3 linked regions of the Neurospora crassa OR74A genome follow. The protein of the gene in region 3 interacts with the protein of the main gene of each other region in a pairwise test. Links are inferred from orthologs where the notes say so. Each region holds a gene or a part of one and is shown on either strand. Other genes may lie near its edges.

The links.
Region 1: the proteins of NCU04439 (region 3) and NCU03824 interact in binary tests that used the Saccharomyces cerevisiae proteins (3 or more experiments, as listed by UniProt). The link is inferred for Neurospora crassa OR74A from reciprocal best matches to the Saccharomyces cerevisiae genes HCA4 and RRP36.
Region 2: the proteins of NCU04439 (region 3) and NCU03961 interact in binary tests that used the Saccharomyces cerevisiae proteins (3 or more experiments, as listed by UniProt). The link is inferred for Neurospora crassa OR74A from reciprocal best matches to the Saccharomyces cerevisiae genes HCA4 and ENP2.

Annotation. Positions count from the first base shown.
Region 1 is NC_026505.1:2,530,916-2,534,465, forward strand, and holds NCU03824 (hypothetical protein), read right to left. Parts: upstream 2,100-3,550; 5' UTR 1,925-2,099; coding exon 1,706-1,924; intron 1,561-1,705; coding exon 781-1,560; 3' UTR 503-780; downstream 1-502. Other genes in the region: stk-25 (ABC1 protein), read left to right, coding at 1-441; NCU03825 (hypothetical protein), read left to right, coding at 2,459-3,550.
Region 2 is NC_026506.1:2,245,924-2,250,212, forward strand, and holds NCU03961 (WD repeat protein), read right to left. Parts: upstream 2,829-4,289; 5' UTR 2,722-2,828; coding exon 2,690-2,721; intron 2,630-2,689; coding exon 724-2,629; 3' UTR 454-723; downstream 1-453. Other genes in the region: NCU03960 (hypothetical protein), read left to right, coding at 1-96, 164-453; NCU03962 (hypothetical protein), read left to right, coding at 3,843-3,881, 3,955-4,289. UniProt on the Saccharomyces cerevisiae protein: May be involved in rRNA-processing and ribosome biosynthesis.
Region 3 is NC_026504.1:3,354,633-3,358,827, reverse strand, and holds NCU04439 (ATP-dependent RNA helicase dbp-4), read right to left. Parts: upstream 2,827-4,195; 5' UTR 2,706-2,826; coding exon 2,559-2,705; intron 2,482-2,558; coding exon 157-2,481; 3' UTR 22-156; downstream 1-21. Other genes in the region: NCU04440 (hypothetical protein), read right to left, coding at 3,477-4,195. UniProt on the Saccharomyces cerevisiae protein: ATP-dependent RNA helicase required for ribosome biogenesis. Involved in the release of U14 snoRNA in pre-ribosomal complexes. Required for pre-rRNA cleavage at site A2.

The sequences.
Region 1 (3,550 bases), on a different chromosome or scaffold from region 3:
CTGGAGCTGCTCGACTTTGGCGCTAGCCGAGAATACCCGGAGGAGTTCATCTCGCTGTATATCCGCCTGCTCGAAGCCGCGTCGCGGGGTGATCGCCCCGCGGTCAAGTCCCTCTCTGAAGAGCTGGGGTATCTGACGGGTCATGAGAGTAGAGCGATGCTGGAGGCGCATATCACTAGTGTCGTTACACTGGCTGAGCCGTTCCTGCAGAGTGCGCCGGAAGTGTATGATTTCAGAGATCAGACGATTACGGAGAGGGTCAAAGCGCAGATCCCCGTCATGATCCATGAGAGGCTGGCACCGCCGCCGGAAGAGACGTATAGCTTGCACAGGAAGCTCAGTGGGGCGTTTTTGTTGTGCGCGAGGCTGGGGAGTAGGGTCAGGTGTAGGGAGATGTTTGAGAAGGCTTTGGAGAAGACGGAGTATTTCGGGAAGAAGTGAGTGAGGTGTATGTATGATACTACTGTGGCTGGAAGTCGGGCTGGTAGGGATAGATTTGGAGGGTTAGACCAGAGTTTCTGCAAGTGATTCTTTCTTCTTTCCTGTACATCTCGGCCGAATGTTCTCTGTTATAGGGAATCTACCGAGTAAGATCACCTCAAAAAGCATAGCCAGCACTTGTGGGGTGATTTGTAACAATATTTGTGAATATTACCATTCCAACCTTTTGCGCGCCTGCTTCATCTATCAGTCCTTGATACCTAGGTATGTCTCCCATGCAGCCATTTATAGTATACCCCCAGTGTTTCAAGCAAGCAATAATCCACTCTTCCCCTTCGTTTACCTATCCTCAGCCGTCCGTCTCGCCAACGGCAACGCCTTCTTCTCCTTGCCTGCAATCTTCTTCCTCTTGCGCTCAATCGCCTTATCGACCTGGCTCTTCTTCATGCTCGCGAACTGCTCCACAAGCAACTGCTTCTTCTGCTCTGACTTCTTCAAGTAGAAGGGCGTCTTGCCCTGCTTGATGAGCTCCTTCTCCTTCTTCTTGTGCTCCGACAACAGCTCGCGCTCCTTATCCTTGCGGGCGCGCGCCTTCTTCTTGCTCTCCATCGACAGGAGCGCCCGCTGCAGCTCCTCCTTTTCGTTGGCATCTTTCGTCTTCTTGATGGCCATCCGCAGCTGCTTCATCTCGTCCTCCTGGTAGTCGTCCAGGAACGAGTAGGCTTTGCGCGCCTTGATCTCATCTACTACGCTTTTACCGGAGCTGCCGCCGATGCCGGGGGGCGCGAACCGTGGGTCCCGGGATTTGGGCTTGGCGGGCTCGTTGGCGAGAAAGTCGCGACGCCGAGAAACGGGTTTTTTGGAGGTCGTCTCGACGGGCGCGTGCTTGTTGGTGCGGTGGTGCTTCTCGACCTTGGCCTTCATGCCCTTTTCGATCTCGGTCTTCCAGTTGGGCTCTTCTTTCTCTTCATCGTCATCGGAGCCGTCCTCATCGCCGCCCTTCTTCTTCTTCTTTTTCTTCAGTGCGCCGAGAGAGGCTTGGGCTCGGGCGAGAGCACCGAATGAGAGCTGCGAGGCGTCGATGCCGGCGCCGCCGTGCTCTGAGGGTGCGTCGGAGTCCTGTTATTGAGCATTAGTCGTAGTTTTTTTTTTTTTTTTTTTTTTTTTTTTTTTTTTTTTTTTTTTTTTTTTTTAAAAAAAAAAATGATAGTATTGTTTTTTTGTGCCCATTTGAAGAAAACAGAAAAAAAACAAAAACCCTTACATCGTCACTGCCTGGTTCACTGCCCTCCTCAATCTCTTCATCCTCCTCCTCCTCCTCGGTGTCGCTGCCTGTGTGAAAGCCGCCGCCTTCTTCCTCACTAGGGGCCTCATCTGAGCTCCCCTCCACATCCGAGTCGGGCTCGGCTTCAAATCTCGGACGAACACGTCTCTGGAGCTTAGCACCCAGCGTAGGGGCAGCTTTTCGCTTGACCGCAGGCATTTCTTACTCTTTTCGGGTCCACAATTTCGTCCTTTATAAGTTCTATCCTGTCTCTGGTGGCAGTGACAACTTTGTTGTGCGTTTGATTTGAGATGGTTACCCTTTTACGAGGGAACAAACAGCAGCGGGTGAAGAAAAGGTATGAGTGAAGTCACATGGATATGTGTATGTAGTTGGTTGTCGAATTGGCGTTGAAAGTTCTGCCGCCTGCGAGTGAAGCAACATTGCCCCGCTTTGACGGGTTTTCTCAATGTATGATTGGCTAGATTCCTAACCGATATTTTGCCCGTCCCCTGAAAAGCACAGAGGCCGCAAACAGGCGTACAACATCACTTCTTGATAAAAGTGTGACATCTCATTCACTGAGTTGTTTGGAGGTCCAGGAACACGGCTTATTGGATATTTATTACCGCACATCTTCCTCAACAGCTGTGGCCTACAGCTGAATGCGAGCCGGGCCGACTTCAAGCACCTTGGAGCCAAGTGGTCCGTAGCGGCACCTTTTTGCACCGGCCTCGTCTTTTTATCTCAAGGATGATGATGAACAGATTACGAATATTCAACACACCAGGTCGCTTTCGTCTCACAAAGGACTGGCAACTATTGCCAACTACACCATTATTGCCTTACTTGCCTCGCAATAAATATTTCAACACATACAAACCGTTCTTGGCCAACCAACCTTCGACGAGGTGCATTCATACGGCTGAAGACAGTTTTGAGGCGGATAAACTGTGCTCTGTGTTTGGCGTACAACACCTGGCTAAGAAGGGAACCGCACAATCAAACGAGACATTACCAGGCCCCTCAGAACCGTCTCACCAGGCGGCTGGAGAACAGGGCAGAGTGGCTTCCGCTGGAAAGGGTCAAAGGGGCAGCAAAAACGGAAACGAAACGCAGGAGCAAAGAAGGTGTCAAAGGCTGGGTCAGCAGCAGGACAAACTACAACGACAACAACAACAGCCTCAAGACGGTCTTAAGGCACAAATACAGCAAACAGTGGACCAAATGGATCACAATCACTTCGGCTACCAGCCGGGTTACCCGCCAATATGGCAGGGGGAGTTTGTTCAGCAGCAGCAACAACAACAACAATACCAATACCAAAACCAACAGCACTATCCTCGGCAAGAGCAATATGGCATGGGATATGCGCCGCCCCCAAATATGGGCTATGGCTTCATCCCTCCTACTCATCTCAACACCTTCGCCCCAGGAACGACCATACCGCATTGGCAACAACCTCTGCCGCCGTTCTACTCGGGAGCAGGAACACGAAGTTACCATACCAACACCAACAACAACAACAACAACAACAACAACAGGCCTCAGGTCCCTCAGCCCGCTGGTTGCTATCGCTCCAGGAGTCCCGGACCCTACTCACGAGTAAGACAATACAGCAATAGCAACAACAACAACACCTACACCAACAACACACACCCAGACTTTTATCGCCCCAGGAGTCCTGGACCTTACTCACGAGGAGGAAGACGAGGACAGTACAACAATAACAACAACAATAACATCAACAACCACCATAGCCAGCAACAGCAAATACCGCCCACCTCCAGGCCCTCTCATCCGCCCAAGCTCAACAAGAAGGCCAAAGCCCGCGAAGCAGCAGCC
Region 2 (4,289 bases), on a different chromosome or scaffold from region 3:
CCGGTGCGGCCGGGACGTCATCAAACGACGTCGGGCTATCTCAAGGTGGTCTGATCGCCATCATTGTGGTTGTTTGTGTCGTCACCATCTTCGGTGGTAAGTCTTTCTCGCCCATCAGCAATACTGCACTGACCGGACATGATATTGACCCTCCCTCCAACAGTCGGTAGCGCAGTTCTCTTCTTCCTGGCAAAGAAAAATGAGTGGAAGGTCAGGGAGACCATTCGAAAGTCGGCAAAGAGGGTCGTCACGGCTTTGACCCCACGACGCAGCGAGTTCCCCAGATCGGTCAAGGGATCTTTCCGATCAACCAGATCCCAACATAAAGGCCGTGTAAGGATCGATGATGTGCCACCCACCCCGCGCATCAAACCCGAGCATCTGGATTTGGAAAAGGGCATGGGGAAGCCGGAGAAGTCAGGAAAGACACGCATCAACTTCAGTCGGAAGTGAGCCGGTGTGGCGCAAGAGAAAATCAGACAGCACGAGTTGAGATATAATGAACCATTTGATGACGAAAATGGCAAGCTTGGGGTATATTTTGGGTATCGCTGGTCGCGCGAGCCTATTGCTTTGCGACTCGTATTCGGAAAGAAATGTGTGCCGTGGACGGCAATGATGTTCTTGGCCGGTTCACCACGGCCTGGAGGAGTTGACATGAAAGATACCATGACTTTTTCACATGTATAGTATATAGGGTTGGACCAATAAGCTTCTGGCGTTTTACAGTCGTCTAAAGGTGTTCGTGCTTGCACTTCGCCTCCCATCATGTCTCTTCCGTGTTGGTGCAGCCTCGGGTTCAGCCTGCTTCTTCTTCTTGGACTCGGGCACGAACGTAATCTTCTGCTCTCCGACCACGTCCGTTCGGGTCTTAGTGACGCGCCCGGTCCTTGGAGCTCTTTGGCCGAATGCCGTATCCTTCGCCTTGCCGCCCGCAATCTTGGACGACGAGACCTGCATGACCACGTCATCCTTGCTCTTCTTGCTCTTCTTTTTCTTGCTTTCGACCTCGCTTTCCGGATCGCTCTCATCGTCACTGTTGCTGGTAACTGAAGAGTCGTCCTTGACATGCTGTACTGCGACATCTTGTCCGCCAACCTGGGTGCTGGGGTTGAGGGCTCTGAACTCCCTGGACGTCTCATCGACCTTGAACTCCTCATCCTCGAACAGCTTGCCGAAACGAGAATCGCCCAAGACGCCAGCGGCAATCTTCTTCTTGTCGGAACGATCAACAATCTTGTCAACCAGCTTCTGGTTGACCTTGACCTTCTTGACACCTCTGATACGGCTCTCGCGAGCCTTCTCAACCTTCTCCTTGACGCGCTTGGCCCGCTCCTCTTCCCAGACATACGGATTGGCAATGAGACGAGCCTGGTCGTACAACTTGGAATGTACAAAGTAACCGTGCATATAAGGACGCAACAGGTTGGTCTTGCCAACCAAGTGAGCCAAGCTGAGCTGCTTGAGTTCGGGTATCGTAAGGAACTTGTAGTTGTCGTATGTGTCGACACGCTTCTCGTTCTCCATTTCGTGGACCATGTTGTCGAGGAAATGGCACCACCTGGGAGCCAGGCCAAGGTTGGGAATAAAGAAACTGTGCATCTGCTTGCCCTCGTTTGCCGTCAATAGCATGCCGGAATCGGGGACATGCGCCACATGATTAATGTCAACGGTCGGCTCGATTGAGGTCCAGAGGTCGCCACTCTGTTCGTCCCAGAGCTTGATGATTCTCTTATCGGCCGTGAGAAGCTTCTTTTCCTCGGTAGGAGTCGTCAAGTGGATGATGTTCTTGATGGGAAGACCCATGCCCTGGTCCTTCCGCATAAGCGGGCGAGGGTTTCTCAGATCGAAAACTTGAACAATACCCGTGCCTGTTCCGAGCGCAAGAGAGAGACCGTCTCTGCTGTAATCCAACGCAGTGATTTCGCCCTCTTGGCCGCCCAATACAGCAACGCGGTTCCTGCTACGGGGATCGTAGAACTCGACTGTGCCGACGGTCGTTCCGAAGGCGCAAAGACCGTGTGTGGACTCGGCGACGGCCGCGACATTAACAGCTCCGACGTTGATGCTTCCCTGAAGACCAGCACCGGGCTCATCTTCACCCACATCCACCTGCCATGGCCTCAGGAACTGGCCGCGCTCCAGATCGAGGCGGAAAACCTCGCCCATACCAGAACCATCCGCACTCAAACCGACAGAGGGAATGAGCACTTCTGTACTTTGACGGAGATATGCAAGGTCTCTGCCGAAGCGCGGGAGTCTGACTTCGTAGTGACATCCCATGGGGGTATGGAATTCGATCGAACGGTCGGATTGGAGGTGTACGCTCTTGGTGTAATCTTGGCTGAGCATAATGAAGGTGGTGTTTTCGGATTTGGTGTGGCGAGCGAAAGACAGCGACAGTTCCTGTGTGTTGTGGACGTGGAACTGGGGCTTGTAGGTACCGGAGCTCATGATCCAGTTGCCATCTTCACTGACACGGACGCAGTTGCTGGCCTCCTCGAAGTCGAAGTTCTGGAGGAGCTCGAAGTTGTTGAGTTCTTCGGGCTCGTACTTGGCCGATCTCTTTCTGCGGCGGGCAAGCCATTCTGGAAGGGGTCTCGCAGTCGACGGCCCAGATACGGTGTATCTGCGATGATGGTTAGCATTTCACAGCGGATCTCTCTTTTCCAATGGCAAATAGACGTACACTGGCACCGCGCCGGGATTTGTCAATTTCATGATGGGTGGTTTTGTTGGTGATGAGGGATGGGGCAAGGATGGAAGATGTTGAGAAAGCAGAGAAAGCTTCAACTGCTACTATCTGCTGAATGGGAAGTTTTGGAGAACAACCCTAACCCGTATCTGAACTTTTTGCGGCAGAAAATCTGCAAAAAGTTCAGAGAAGTGCCATGGTCGCCAAATAAGGAAGGCGGAGAGCCACCGGCGATAAAGCGAAAGGTAGTAGGGCGATAAGGCGGCTTGAAGAGGAAGCGGGACGGGAGGACTGCCCGTGGTGGACCTTTGAATTCTGGTAGGCGGGCGTCGCCGTCAGCAGGTCATTGCAGTACCTAGGCCGGGTGCCTCTAGGTAGGTGAGGTGGCAGGCCTGGATTGTGCTTGGCAGCAGGGTCCTTTCAGCTGTGGATACCTCTAGAGGTAGTGTGGGTCCTCCCCCGTCGCTGATCCGAACCTAACTGCCTGCGTGGCTGTTCGCCTGTCGCATCGGCGGGCAGGGCATCCCGCCGACCTGGAACCCAACTGACTGCAATGGACTTTACTGGACCGAATTCCTTTTGATTCGAGTCGGCCACCTCGATGGCGGCTGTGAAGTCACGATTACTGCCCGCCGTCACCGTATTCGTTACTACCACCGGACCGCCAACTACCTACCTACCTGAACCGATGTCCACCATCCTTCAGTCCCACGACACTAACCTACAGTAATATCGCATCCCGTCATCCCATCGCATCCCCCTCCCGCCTTACAGCTCCTCACTCCGTCCCATCTCCCAGGTCCCGAACCCGCAAATGACCTCGTGGGCGCATGGTCGGTGATCCGCGACGGTTCGCGCTGTATGGACAGGGGCCTTGCTGCCATGGAGTCCAGCATCCCAACGACGTACAGCTCAAGACAACTACCGAGTTCATCATCCATGCTGTTTGAAGTTCGGCTTCCACAGCTTCCACTTCTGAGCGTCGCCACAGTAGACTTTCATCCCAACACGCCATCACACCGTCCCTCAGGCCGCCGTCGCCGGCCTACATGCGCCCTCATCCCACTCCGCTAACACGCCTTCGCGCCCGGTGCATGGTCACTACGACTTCTGCGACTCCGCCTCCAAAGGCATCTCTATTTCAGATATGGACACTGGCGACTATGATACCAATACCTTGCTAATTGTATGCTGGCCTGTCCCGTCCTCGGACCACCGCCTCCCACTCCCCCCCCCTAACTCACGCGTCTCTCCTGCAGAATAATCTTTCCGCCATTTCTTTTCGCGTTTACGAACCCGTTGCCGCCAACACAGCCTCTTACACCTTCCAGCCACAAGTCGTCGAGGATGCCTTGCGCCGGGATGGCCACCTCGTCCACGTCGATACCACCCGGCGATGTATATGGGTCTTTTACTTGACAACCAAGGATGGCTCCATGTTGGGACCCGAGGAGCGAGGGCTCACCGCCAAGATGGAGGTCTGCGGTTACTCGTTAGGCTTGTCTGGAGAAGGCGGCTTTGAACCCAGTAGCTTGTTCAGAAGCAGACAGCTTGGGACAAACTCTCTCAACACTCCAAACAGCTCGTCCTCTGC
Region 3 (4,195 bases):
TGGCATGGGACCGACCCTTTTGTCAAAATACGTGGTTTAGGTATCATAACAAGTCTAAAACTATCGCAAAATACGTATGTAAACATCCATGATTGGATGACGAACCCCGATATCTCTCCTTTTCCCACACCAACACCAACATTGAAAACCAACTCATCAATCCTCCAACAAGCCAGCGGCCAAAGCCTCCAAATCCTGCAAGTTATCCGGCTCATGATCCATCTCAATGACCTTCCTGCCGCCCTCCATCTTAGCCTTCTTCCTCCTCGGCCTGCCGTCATCGCTATACTCCGTATCCGAGTCATCCTTCTGGAACCACTTCTTAGCCTTCTTCTTAGGCGGTTCCCTATCGTCCTCGCTCTCGTCACCGCTGTCACCGCCCTTGCCAGCAACAGGCAAACTTCTGAGCAAAGCCAAAGGATCCTCCTCCACATCGCTGTGCGCGTCCAGCAGCGCCGGCTGCAGGGGACCCTTCTCCCTCTCGACCTCCTCTCCCCTCTCCCTTGCCTTGGCGCGCTCCCTCTTCTCCTTCCTCCGCTGCTTGGCCAGCAGCTTGTCTTCGACATCCTGCTCCTTGACCTTGGTGGCTTCGCTCTCGACGAACTTCTGCCTGAGCTCCTTGGCGTCGCCCTCCTTCTGGAAGTCCTCCTCGTCTTGCAGCTGGTAGAGCGGGTGGGCGTTTCCTTCGTCGTCAAACACAAGCTTCTGGCCCTTCTCCATGTACTTGAGCAGCTTCTTCTTGGACTTGAGCAGCTTCTCGCGACGGTGCGAGTCGATGACCAACTCGGCGTTCTTGCCCAGCTTGACCACCTTGGCCGTGCCGTCGGGGTTGGTGCCGGACTTGGCATTGCCGGCGGCGTCGTCGAGGGCGGCATCGTCGTCCAGCACGCGCTTGACCGAGAGGAAGTCGTCTTCCTCGTTGTCTTCTGCCTGATCTTCTCCGAGAAGCTTGCGGTAATGCGTCGACAAGACGTCCTGGTTTTGACGCTCGGCCATCTTGTCGTACTTTGTCCTGACCTCCTTCTTCTTCTTGCGGATCTCGCCGTCCGAGCCTTCGGTGTCGGACCCGCTGGACATGGCGGCGCGCGAGGCATTCTTGAGCTTCTTGACGTCCTCGCCCTTCTGGTATCTGATCTGTGGAGTACCTGGGAGACCCAGGCTGGAAGCAAAACCGTCGAGGTCGAGTTTGTCGAACTTGAACACCTCCTTATCCTTTTGCAGGTAAATCGAACGGACGTACGAGACGAAAGCCTTCTGTCCGAGGTATTTGAGATCGGGTGACTGGAAACACTGTGACTGTAGTTCGTTCTTGATGCTCTTCTTCTTGTTTTCTTTGACGTTCACTTTCTGGACGGTCACCTTCTTGTGCTCGAGACGCTTAAGGAAACCCTCTTCTTCGCTGGGGTCGAGGAACAAGACGGCGCGGCCCTTGCTCTCGTAACGCGCCGTTCTGCCGACGCGATGGATGTAGGTGTCGGCATCTTCAGGGCAATCGACCTGGATGACCCAGTCAACGGCGGGGAAATCGACACCTCTGGCCACGACATCGGTGGCGAAGAGGCAGGAGTATTTCGCGGACGTGAACCGGTTCGTGATCTCGAGACGTGCTATTTGTTTTTGGCGACCATGCAAATGTAGTAGTGGAATACCGGGCTGCATCCGCTTAAAACTTTCGTAGACGAATCTGACCTGCTTGCCGGAGGACATAAACACAATAATCTTGCTCTTGAGGTTCGTTCGTAGGAAGCCCCATAGCGTGTCGAGCTTCTCAGGGAGAGGTGTGACGATGTAATGCTGTTGGAGGCCGACGGGGGTCGCCGATGCTGCGGCTTCGTGAACAGAGACGTATTCGGGGTCCTTCAAGCTCAACCGGGCAAGGTCCGAGACACGCTTGCTTTGTGTGGCGCTAAACAGCAGGGTCTGCCTGCTCTTGGGAAGATGCTCAACAAGAGCGTCAACGGCCTGTTGGAAACCCATGTCCATGATGCGGTCGGCCTCATCAAGCACGAGCATCTGGAGGTTGTCGACATCGAAGCCGGCCGTTTGGTCGAGATGCTGCAGCATACGGCCAGGTGTGCAGACGAGGATATTCATGCGCCCAAGACGCTCCGCCTCCTCCTTCAAGCTCTTTCCACCAATGACCAAGCCTGCCGAAAAGCTGTGGTTGCGACCAATCTTCCTGAGAACTTCAAATATTTGGACGGCCAATTCACGGGTCGGGCTGATAATGAGGGCACCGAGACCGTCGTACTCAGTCCATCGTGCACGGTATAGCTTCTCGAGGACGGGAACAAGGAAGGCGAGGGTCTTGCCGCTACCTGTCCTAGCAGCGCCGAGGATATCTTGCCCTTTGAGCGCGAGAGGGATGGCGGCGCGTTGGACATCGGTTAGGACCTCGAAATGGGATGCGCGTAGTCCAGAGGCGGTAGGTTCGCAAAGGGGAAGGTCCGAGAACTTGTTGAGTTCGGTGGATTTGGGGTCCTAGTAGATTGAGACACAATATTTAGAAGCGTGTGCGGTTGTATGGTGAGAAACGGGGGTTCAGTACTAGGACTTACAAGTTCGTCGATTCTCTTCTGAAGCGCCTCGAGGTTCTCCAACTCTCTTTTCCTCTTCAACGTCTTGTGTTCGGCCTTGTTGGCTTTGGACCTCTCCTTCTCGGCTTTGCCCTTGCCACCGCGGCCTTTGGGGCCTCCTGGAGCCATTGTGTTTGTATCGTCTGAACGTGCTGGAAATTGGGCGTGGTGGGTTCGACGAAGTTCCAAAGGTCGGGTCTGCTAGTCGAGCGAATCCAATTGCCTGCGGGTCGTCGCTGGTGGCCTTTCAGTTCGATGCGAATGGGAAAACTTTTGGCGGAGAGCAATTCTGCCAGCTCGACCCACCTCATCCACTGTAAGCGAGGGGATCTGCAGCAGGGGTCTCGGACTCGCGGCCAGCTCAGACCAGGGTTAGGGTCATACGAGCAGACAGACGACCATCGAGTTGTCAGCCCCCAGTGACATTCTCAAGTCGTTGCTATGGTTCATGATGGGTTGGATGGGCAGTTGTACGGGGCTGAAGTAGAAAATTCACAGTAGCTTTTGCATCGAACCAAATTCGAATTGTAGTGGTTTTATCTCAGCGCCCACAACTTCAGCAATCTACATGTTTCACTTAGAACAGCAACATTCGAACATCAACACCGTGCCTGAGCAATGAAAAGAGCCAAACTATCATGAAAGCATAATGTATTGAACCACGAAAAAAATGAGCTTGAAGACGGGTATCGCTCGCTCACATGATTCCTTCGTAGGTAGACACCCGCAATAAAACCAACCCACTAGACCCACCCATATGTACGTTTCCCAAAGTTGAAAGCGATAAAAAAAAAAAAAAGGACCAAAACGCCTTGCCCCATTCCCAATTTCCTTGCTTTTCCCTTCAATACGTATTCGGTAGCTCAAGATCCGTCGCCCAGATACCCATTATCAATCCTGTTATTCCTCGCCCTCGTACTCTAATTCCTCCCCAAACAGTTTCAGGCGGTAAATGCATGTATGATCCAGGGCTCCATGGTTCGTCTTGGCTCTGACGACCACCTTGTACGTCGCCGCATCCAGATCGAGCAACTCCTCCGACAGCTTGTGGACAAACATGCCGTGGCTACCGCTGGTCTTGGCATAGTCGTACTCCAGCTCGCCGATCTTGACGTATTTTCTGTTGATGAGGGACAGCGATTTTTTGTTGTTTGCGTCGACCATCTTCATGTCAGCTTCGCGCTCGCCAGGGTACAACTCGTCCATCCAAGCCAGGAGTCGCTTGTTGTCGTCCGCGTCCGGATAGTATCCCCAAATCTCAATGTCTTTGGGCATGGACCCAGGGTCATTCGTCGCGTTCGGATGGACGTGCTCAACGACGATGGCTTGGGGAATGACATGTTTGGCCATCTCCACGGCGAGCTCGGCCCCCCTGCTGGCTGAGATGCCAGCGCACCAGCACTGGCCAACGTCGTTCCAGGCAGAGAGCGCCAGCATGTATTCTGCTTCCAGGGTGACCTTATCCTTGCTCGAAATGGGCTTCGGCTTGCCGAGCAGTTTGCTGAGGTGCTTGTTGCCTGGCAGTGCTTGCGACTCAAGTCGGTATACGGGGGATGATTCCGACAAGACGATACCAGCTTCATTGCCCAGGCCGAAATGATTGACTTGAGTTTCAACGT